Linked DNA regions of Saccharomyces cerevisiae S288C. The gene in region 1 interacts genetically with each later gene. Each region holds a gene or a part of one and is shown on either strand. Other genes may lie near its edges.

Region 1 (3,541 bases):
GACGGTGTCGTCTCCAAGAAAAATAACAATGTAAATTGACCCAGCGTGACGACAGTAGACTGTAAGTTATAGTACAATCATACTCTACCTTAGTCACTGTTCCTCCACTGTTAAGTAGAGAGAGAGAGAGAGTTTAAAGTGGAGAAGGCAAGAAAAAGTGCACTTATTACGTAATGGATCCCACCAAAGCACCCGATTTTAAACCGCCACAGCCAAATGAAGAACTACAACCACCGCCAGATCCAACACATACGATACCAAAATCTGGACCCATAGTTCCATATGTTTTAGCTGATTATAATTCTTCGATCGATGCTCCTTTCAATCTCGACATTTACAAAACCCTGTCGTCAAGGAAAAAAAACGCCAACTCAAGCAACCGAATGGACCATATTCCATTAAATACTAGTGACTTCCAGCCACTATCTCGGGATGTATCATCGGAGGAGGAAAGTGAAGGGCAATCGAATGGAATTGACGCTACTCTACAGGATGTTACGATGACTGGGAATTTGGGGGTACTGAAGAGCCAAATTGCTGATTTGGAAGAAGTTCCTCACACAATTGTAAGACAAGCCAGAACTATTGAAGATTACGAATTTCCTGTACACAGATTGACGAAAAAGTTACAAGATCCTGAAAAACTGCCTCTGATCATCGTTGCTTGTGGATCATTTTCTCCCATAACATACCTACATTTGAGAATGTTTGAAATGGCTTTAGATGATATCAATGAGCAAACGCGTTTTGAAGTGGTTGGTGGTTATTTTTCTCCAGTAAGTGATAACTATCAAAAGCGAGGGTTAGCCCCAGCTTATCATCGTGTCCGCATGTGCGAATTAGCATGCGAGCGGACATCATCTTGGTTAATGGTTGATGCCTGGGAATCTTTACAATCAAGTTATACAAGGACAGCAAAAGTCTTGGACCATTTCAATCATGAAATAAATATCAAGAGAGGTGGAATCATGACTGTAGATGGTGAAAAAATGGGCGTAAAAATCATGTTATTGGCAGGCGGTGATCTTATCGAATCCATGGGCGAGCCTCATGTGTGGGCTGATTCAGACCTGCACCATATTTTGGGTAATTATGGATGTTTGATCGTGGAAAGGACTGGTTCTGATGTTAGGTCCTTCTTGCTTTCCCATGATATCATGTATGAACACAGAAGAAATATCCTTATTATCAAACAACTTATTTACAATGATATTTCCTCTACGAAAGTGCGGCTTTTCATCAGACGTGGAATGTCAGTTCAATATCTTCTTCCAAACTCTGTCATCCGTTACATCCAAGAGTATAATCTATACATTAATCAAAGTGAACCGGTCAAGCAGGTCTTGGATAGCAAAGAGTGAGTTTATTACAACTCTGATACTGCAGCAGTTCAAATTTACCACTTTCCTCTTCAAGGTGCATAGAAAAAAAGTTCCTGGATGCACGATTTAAAATGTTTACAGCAGAGCAACAATCATGTGAACAATGTCAAACATTTATTTTAACACTTAATAATTATAATATAACCACACCAGCGGTAAGTTTCATAAGGAAAACCTTTCAGACAAACATTCCAGTGAATCGTATACGTAAATCAGCAAAATTAGCTTATAAAATACAGAATCCGAAGATACTTGATCTACTCGCGTTACTATTAATGCGGGTAATGATCTATATTGAATTTTGCACGTCTATAGTAACTTAAAAGTCTTGTAATATTTGAAGTAACAATGCCGTATAATACTGCATAATAGCCCTATCAATCGGAATATACCAAAACATCCTTTATGTCCTGTTCTCAAAATAAGACTTCTGTCAGTCTGGCCTGGCGTGAATGCATATCCATCGCTTCCGTCCTAATTGGCGCGTATGCATCATACAAATACTATAAGCTGTTCAAAACACGCGATATTCCACGTCCAAAAGAAGGCGTTGAAGAACTCATAGGAAACACTCCTCTGGTTAAGATCAGATCTCTTACCAAGGCTACTGGAGTTAACATTTACGCTAAGTTGGAGTTATGCAACCCAGCAGGAAGTGCTAAGGATAGAGTGGCTTTAAACATCATAAAGACGGCTGAGGAATTAGGCGAGCTCGTCAGAGGTGAACCTGGCTGGGTATTTGAAGGAACAAGTGGGTCGACTGGTATCTCTATAGCAGTGGTCTGTAATGCGTTGGGTTATAGGGCACACATTTCTTTGCCCGATGACACATCGCTAGAAAAATTGGCATTACTAGAAAGCCTCGGTGCTACTGTTAATAAGGTTAAGCCCGCTAGTATTGTCGATCCAAACCAATACGTAAATGCCGCCAAAAAGGCATGTAATGAACTAAAGAAGAGTGGTAATGGAATAAGAGCAGTTTTTGCCGATCAGTTCGAAAACGAAGCCAACTGGAAAGTACATTACCAGACCACAGGCCCAGAAATTGCCCATCAAACTAAGGGAAATATTGACGCATTCATTGCTGGCTGCGGTACTGGTGGCACCATAACTGGTGTGGCAAAATTCTTAAAGGAAAGAGCAAAGATACCTTGCCATGTCGTTCTAGCGGATCCACAAGGATCTGGCTTTTATAATAGAGTCAACTATGGCGTGATGTATGACTATGTAGAGAAGGAAGGTACTAGAAGAAGGCATCAAGTTGACACTATCGTAGAAGGGATTGGGTTAAACAGAATCACTCATAATTTTCATATGGGCGAAAAGTTTATTGATGAATCAATACGAGTCAACGATAATCAAGCCATTAGAATGGCAAAATACCTATCGGTAAACGACGGGCTATTCGTGGGGAGTAGTACAGCTATTAATGCGGTAGCCGCTATTCAGGTTGCAAAAACGCTTCCTCACGGCTCAAACATTGTGATTATTGCATGCGACAGCGGTTCAAGACACCTAAGTAAATTCTGGAAAGAAGCTAAAGAAATCGATCACGACGTGTCATTAGAAGAAGTAATAAATATCTAACATAGATGTATAAATCAGTACTGAGTTATCTTCTATTAAATTGTAGGAACAAATATAAAAAAGCAGTTTTCGCTGCTACATTTTTTGCTACTTTCCGTGGTAATGATGCCCGCTAAAAAGTGCAAAAGTAATTAGATAGATCAAGAACAAAAACAGACCAGGACCAAAATCAAGCTCATAAAAGTTCCTTAAGAGTACGTCGATTTACAGAACATGAGGGATATTGTATTTGTATCACCGCAGCTGTATTTGTCATCACAGGAGGGTTGGAAAAGTGATTCTGCCAAAAGTGGGTTCATCCCTATCCTCAAAAATGATCTACAACGTTTTCAGGACTCATTAAAACATATAGTTGACGCCAGAAACAGCTTATCAGAGACACTGCTAAATAGCAACGATGATGGGAGTATACACAATTCTGACCAGAATACTGGTTTGAATAAAGACAAAGAGGCTTCAATAGCAGATAACAATAGTGCTAACAAGTGCGCCACAAGCTCTTCCCGTTACCAAGAGCTCAAACAATTTCTTCCCATTTCCTTAGACCAACAGATTCATACAGTATCTTTACA
Region 2 (3,677 bases), on another chromosome or scaffold:
CTTTTAACCTCACAATATCAGTCCCATTCAATCCTGCTATGTTCTTGCTGGCTGAAGACGTTTTAGGGACTTCTTTGCAATTATCATTATCATCAGTTAGAATTACAAATATCCTGTCAAGGATGAAGAAGAGTTTGAATAATTTGGATAAAGTGTCATTAATCTCTGAGTCTTCCATATTTTTGAATGTAAATTTTTCAACGTAATCGATGAGATCGTCCGCAATTTTTATTAAATAGGACCCTTGACCAAAATAACTAGAATATCCGCATGTATCTTTTGGGTTTCGGGAATCTGGGCAATGTCTCTTTTCTTCTGATTGAAGTAAATAGTCTGAGTTTGGAACATGGGCAATAGAATACCAAACGAAGTCAACTAAAGTTTTTAAATCCTGCAGCAGCGGAGTAAGACTGGCATAGCCGTTTTTGATATTCAGGCCCCTGGATTGAACAAATTTTCTTTGAATTTGTAAAAGCTGATCATCAACGTAAGAGATGAATTTGGATTGTTGAGACATTGACAATCTTCTCGGGTGTGACGTTCCATTGTGATCATTTGGCAATAATTCACTCAGCTTTGTGGCAGACGAAAAGGGAGAAGACACGTTTATTCTAGGCTGGAAATCGTCAACATCATCGAGCATAGTTACGTCGTTGATTGTGTTGTTAGTTTCATTGTAAACATCATTGAATTCTGGTGTATGATATCTTCTTTTCTTATTACAATTACGCTGCCATATAACGTTGTCTATGTTAGAATTTACGACATCACCTGAGTCTGCACTAATTTCTACATCTGAGTTTGGATCCAAGTTTAAATCATCAATGTCTTTTTCATCTAGATCATTTAAGTTGTTCAAGTCCAGTTGCTCATTCGGTTGAGCATGTAATGGTGTGTTTGGCTCAGACATCAAAATACTGTGTTGAAATCTTTTATTTTTATAATATTTCTTTCCTTACCAGGGCTTGGAGTCTCTACAACAGTTAGCTTACTGTTTATTCTGCCACATTTCCACCCTTTTGTGGGGCTTCTATTTCAAGGACCTTCATTATGGAAACAGGGCGAGGTTGTTTGTTCTTCCTGCATGTTGCGCGCAGTGCGTAAGAAAGCGGGACGTAAGCAGTTTAGCCATTCTAAAAGGGGCATTATCAGAATAAGAAGGCCCTATGAGGTATGATTGTAAAGCAAGTGGTGTAAAATTGTGTGCTACCTACCGTATTAGTAGGAACAATTATGCAAGAGGGGTCCTGTGCAAATAAAAAATATATATCTAGAAAAAGAGTAGGTAGGTCCTTCACAATATTGACTGATAGCGATCTCCTCACTATTTTTCACTTATATGCAGTATATTTGTCTGCTTATCTTTCATTAAGTGGAATCATTTGTAGTTTATTCCTACTTTATGGGTATTTTCCAATCATAAAGCATACCGTGGTAATTTAGCCGGGGAAAAGAAGAATGATGGCGGCTAAATTTCGGCGGCTATTTCATTCATTCAAGTATAAAAGGGAGAGGTTTGACTAATTTTTTACTTGAGCTCCTTCTGGAGTGCTCTTGTACGTTTCAAATTTTATTAAGGACCAAATATACAACAGAAAGAAGAAGAGCGGAATGAGACCGTTGTATAGCTGCAACCTTGCAACCAAAGATGATATTGAGATGGCAGGTGGCGTAGCTCCTGCTCACCTGGAAGTTAATGTAGGCGGCTATAATACAGAGCAGACAATACCTATAGTAAAGCATCAGCTCGTGAAAGTTGGGAGAAATGATAAGGAATGTCAACTCGTTCTAACGAATCCCTCTATCTCCTCTGTTCATTGCGTGTTTTGGTGTGTCTTTTTTGATGAGGATAGTATTCCAATGTTCTACGTTAAAGATTGTTCTCTTAATGGAACGTATTTGAACGGTTTGCTTTTGAAAAGGGACAAAACGTATCTTTTAAAACATTGCGACGTTATTGAATTATCGCAGGGAAGTGAAGAAAATGACATTAAAAAAACACGACTAGTTTTTATGATTAATGATGATTTACAATCTTCTCTGGACCCAAAACTTTTAGATCAAATGGGTTTTCTGAGGGAAGTAGACCAATGGGAAATAACAAATAGAATAGTGGGTAATGGCACTTTCGGTCATGTTCTGATCACGCATAACTCAAAAGAACGTGATGAAGATGTCTGTTATCACCCTGAAAATTATGCTGTGAAGATCATTAAACTAAAACCAAATAAATTCGATAAAGAGGCTCGAATCCTTTTGAGACTGGATCACCCAAATATTATCAAAGTCTACCATACTTTCTGTGACAGGAACAATCACCTTTACATATTCCAGGATCTTATCCCTGGTGGTGATTTGTTTTCTTACCTAGCTAAAGGCGACTGTCTAACTTCCATGTCAGAAACTGAATCGCTATTGATCGTCTTTCAAATTTTGCAAGCTTTAAACTACCTTCATGATCAAGACATTGTTCACCGCGATTTGAAACTAGACAATATTTTGTTATGTACGCCAGAACCGTGCACTAGAATCGTCTTGGCAGACTTTGGTATAGCTAAAGATTTAAATTCCAACAAAGAAAGAATGCATACTGTCGTAGGCACTCCGGAATACTGCGCTCCAGAAGTTGGATTCAGAGCAAACAGAAAAGCATATCAAAGCTTCTCAAGAGCAGCTACGTTAGAGCAACGAGGTTATGACAGTAAATGTGATCTTTGGTCTTTGGGTGTCATTACACACATTATGTTAACAGGGATCTCGCCTTTTTATGGAGATGGTTCTGAGAGGAGTATTATTCAAAATGCAAAAATTGGGAAGCTGAATTTCAAACTGAAGCAGTGGGATATTGTTTCAGATAATGCCAAGAGTTTTGTCAAAGACCTTTTGCAAACTGACGTAGTTAAACGATTAAATAGTAAGCAAGGTCTCAAACATATTTGGATTGCAAAACACTTAAGTCAATTAGAGAGATTATATTACAAAAAGATATTGTGCAATAACGAAGGCCCTAAACTAGAAAGTATAAATTCAGACTGGAAAAGGAAGTTACCCAAAAGTGTTATCATTTCTCAGGCAATACCGAAAAAGAAGAAGGTTTTGGAGTAATCATAGGATTATCTCTTCCTCTTTCAAACTGCGCGTAGTTCAAAATAAAAAGGTATCTGTGTAAAAAAAAAAAAGTAAGTCAATTGTATGATTTTTAAGTAAAAGTTGCCCTTTTCTACTAGAAACGGCGAGAAAAAATGATAGTAGTGTGCCAAGAAGAATATGAAGTTACTTTTTAAAAGATATTCGTCTAGTCATATTGGTAAGCTGATTAAGGACTCTTTAATCACTCCTGAAATACTACCACAGCTAGGGCGACAGCCATCATCGCATAAACGTTTACCAAATAACAAAAGAACTAACTCAATAACTGATAAATGGTTGAAGGATGCGCTAACAAGAAAAGATAAACTGAATGAAGATAAGCTCCAAAATGTAAATTTACGATTAAATGTGGTACTGACTACTCTACAGAAGCTTCGTACATCCGATAATCCTGCTTTGTATTTTGCGTTGTTGAATCGTATTGGCACAGGTCACATAAAATGGCTAAATAAAAGTGGCCGACAGATTGATGCATTCCCACCTGATCGGCTGCCTTTGGAATTTTATCATGAGCTATCTAATATGCT
Region 3 (2,750 bases), 330 kb from region 1:
GGTCAAAGATGGTAATGACAAGGTCTTGGAAGACAGCACTATTCACATCAAGGATTACGAAGATGATGAAAGAGAAAGGGGTGTTGCTTTTGTTCATGGTAGATTCTTGAACAACTTGAGAAACATTACTGCTCAAGAGCCAAATGTTACTAGAGTGCAAGGTAACTGTATTGAGATATTGAAGGATGAAAAGAATGAGGTTGTTGGTGCCAAGGTTGACATTGATGGCCGTGGCAAGGTGGAATTCAAAGCCCACTTGACATTTATCTGTGACGGTATCTTTTCACGTTTCAGAAAGGAATTGCACCCAGACCATGTTCCAACTGTCGGTTCTTCGTTTGTCGGTATGTCTTTGTTCAATGCTAAGAATCCTGCTCCTATGCACGGTCACGTTATTCTTGGTAGTGATCATATGCCAATCTTGGTTTACCAAATCAGTCCAGAAGAAACAAGAATCCTTTGTGCTTACAACTCTCCAAAGGTCCCAGCTGATATCAAGAGTTGGATGATTAAGGATGTCCAACCTTTCATTCCAAAGAGTCTACGTCCTTCATTTGATGAAGCCGTCAGCCAAGGTAAATTTAGAGCTATGCCAAACTCCTACTTGCCAGCTAGACAAAACGACGTCACTGGTATGTGTGTTATCGGTGACGCTCTAAATATGAGACATCCATTGACTGGTGGTGGTATGACTGTCGGTTTGCATGATGTTGTCTTGTTGATTAAGAAAATAGGTGACCTAGACTTCAGCGACCGTGAAAAGGTTTTGGATGAATTACTAGACTACCATTTCGAAAGAAAGAGTTACGATTCCGTTATTAACGTTTTGTCAGTGGCTTTGTATTCTTTGTTCGCTGCTGACAGCGATAACTTGAAGGCATTACAAAAAGGTTGTTTCAAATATTTCCAAAGAGGTGGCGATTGTGTCAACAAACCCGTTGAATTTCTGTCTGGTGTCTTGCCAAAGCCTTTGCAATTGACCAGGGTTTTCTTCGCTGTCGCTTTTTACACCATTTACTTGAACATGGAAGAACGTGGTTTCTTGGGATTACCAATGGCTTTATTGGAAGGTATTATGATTTTGATCACAGCTATTAGAGTATTCACCCCATTTTTGTTTGGTGAGTTGATTGGTTAACTACAGCTTATAAGGGAGAGAGGATAGGAACCGTCAAACATTAAGCTGCACCTTTTTTTTTTATTACAGAAGTCGGCTTGGAAGGCTTGTATAGTACATTACGATAAACACATCTTATTTTTATTTATTACTTATTTATTTTACATATTTTCAAAAAAATTCACATATCATTTATTATTAACCGAAGTGTTTTATACTTTTTGTTCTTTCCTTAAAAATGCCTCCAACAGAAAAGGAAAAATGGCTTGATATGCTTCAAAATATGCATTGAGATTCATATTCGGTTATCAATTAACGATATTACTTCCTTAAGTGATATTAAATCAAGCTTGCCGGATTCTGCAGTCAGAATTATACATAATAGTATTTGTGCTCTCGTAAATCCTTTCAGAATTACACCATAGTAGTCTTTGTGAATGTTCTACTTATTAGAATAGATTATTGCTAGTTTATCTCACTTTTCATTCCCCATATCCCTTTTTTTGCTCATCCCCCGGGGTATTTTATCAAGATAAAATTTTATATACATGCAGTGCGCGATAACTCCTAGAGAGGCAGTAATAGCAAAACAAAGACAGTATAAGCATTATTTGGGTATGGAAAGACCATTGTGGGTACGTTGGTTGAAAGTCTATGCAATTGGTGGCGCTATTATTGGAAGCGGGTTTCTGCTTTTCAAGTACACAACGCCAACAGATCAACAGTTAATCAGCCAGCTTTCCCCAGAATTACGTTTACAATATGAGAGGGAGAAAAAACTACGTCAGTCGGAGCAGCAGGCTTTGATGAAAATTGTTAAGGAAACTTCTCAAAGTGACGATCCAATTTGGAAGACGGGCCCCCTTCAATCACCTTGGGAAAGGAACGGTGATAACGTTCAAAGCAGAGATCACTTTGCTAAGGTGAGGGCGGAGGAGGTGCAAAAAGAAGAGTTGGCTAGGATCAGAAATGAACTGTCTCAGCTAAGATCTGAAACGGAGGAGAAAACAAAGGAAATAGTCCAGGATAAGCAGGTTAAAAGCTGGTGGCGCTTCTGGTAGATGGGTCGGGTCACTCAATTAGGAAGGGCAGCTTGAACTTTTGCATCCTAAAACATACGTCTGTGTCATTTATGATATATTATTTATTTGTACACTGTAAATAGGTTTAAAAATATAACTTCATACTTATTTTTAGCTATTTTAGTTCCCATACTTGGGGATGGAAAAAACATTGCGCAAGCCCGGAATCGAACCGGGGGCCCAACGATGGCAACGTTGGATTTTACCACTAAACCACTTGCGCTTGTTATTTATATGAGATTATTGCATCATGCAATGGGGTAATGTCAAGGTTCTTGACAATCCTAATATAAACAGTCTTAGGGAAGTAACCAGTTGTCAAAACGGTTTATCAGCTTGATTCACGGGATCTTACTTATCCTATATATTATATAAAATATGGATCATACTAAATGGTGGAAGCGCGGAATCTTGGATCTAAACCAATTGTTCAGATACTTATACGTTAGAGTAGGTTAGCTAAGGAAGGCAGAGTTTTATTTTCATGTTGCTCATTCTGTTCGTTTTGCTGTAAGGTTGTTTCATATGTGTTTTATGAACGTTTAGGATGA

The links.
Region 2: mutations in MCY1 (region 1) and MEK1 together harm fitness more than expected from each alone (negative genetic interaction), as found in Saccharomyces cerevisiae (3 studies listed by BioGRID).
Region 3: mutations in MCY1 (region 1) and CBP4 together harm fitness more than expected from each alone (negative genetic interaction), as found in Saccharomyces cerevisiae (2 studies listed by BioGRID).

The regions. Positions count from the first base shown.
Region 1 is NC_001139.9:511,372-514,912, forward strand, and holds MCY1 (putative cysteine synthase), read left to right. Parts: upstream 1-1,787; coding exon 1,788-2,969; downstream 2,970-3,541. Other genes in the region: nicotinamide-nucleotide adenylyltransferase NMA2, read left to right, coding at 174-1,361; SNU71 (Snu71p), read left to right, coding at 3,183-3,541. UniProt on the Saccharomyces cerevisiae protein: Putative cysteine synthase that catalyzes the conversion of O-acetyl-L-serine (OAS) into cysteine, the last step in the cysteine biosynthesis pathway. However, this CS-like protein is unlikely to function in cysteine biosynthesis.
Region 2 is NC_001147.6:994,446-998,122, reverse strand, and holds MEK1 (serine/threonine protein kinase MEK1), read left to right. Parts: upstream 1-1,611; coding exon 1,612-3,105; downstream 3,106-3,677. Other genes in the region: TFIIH complex subunit TFB6, read right to left, coding at 1-910; MNE1 (Mne1p), read left to right, coding at 3,268-3,677. UniProt on the Saccharomyces cerevisiae protein: Probable protein kinase required for meiotic recombination.
Region 3 is NC_001139.9:845,321-848,070, reverse strand, and holds CBP4 (Cbp4p), read left to right. Parts: upstream 1-1,665; coding exon 1,666-2,178; downstream 2,179-2,750. Other genes in the region: ERG1 (squalene monooxygenase), read left to right, coding at 1-1,138; YGR174W-A (uncharacterized protein), read right to left, coding at 1,330-1,416.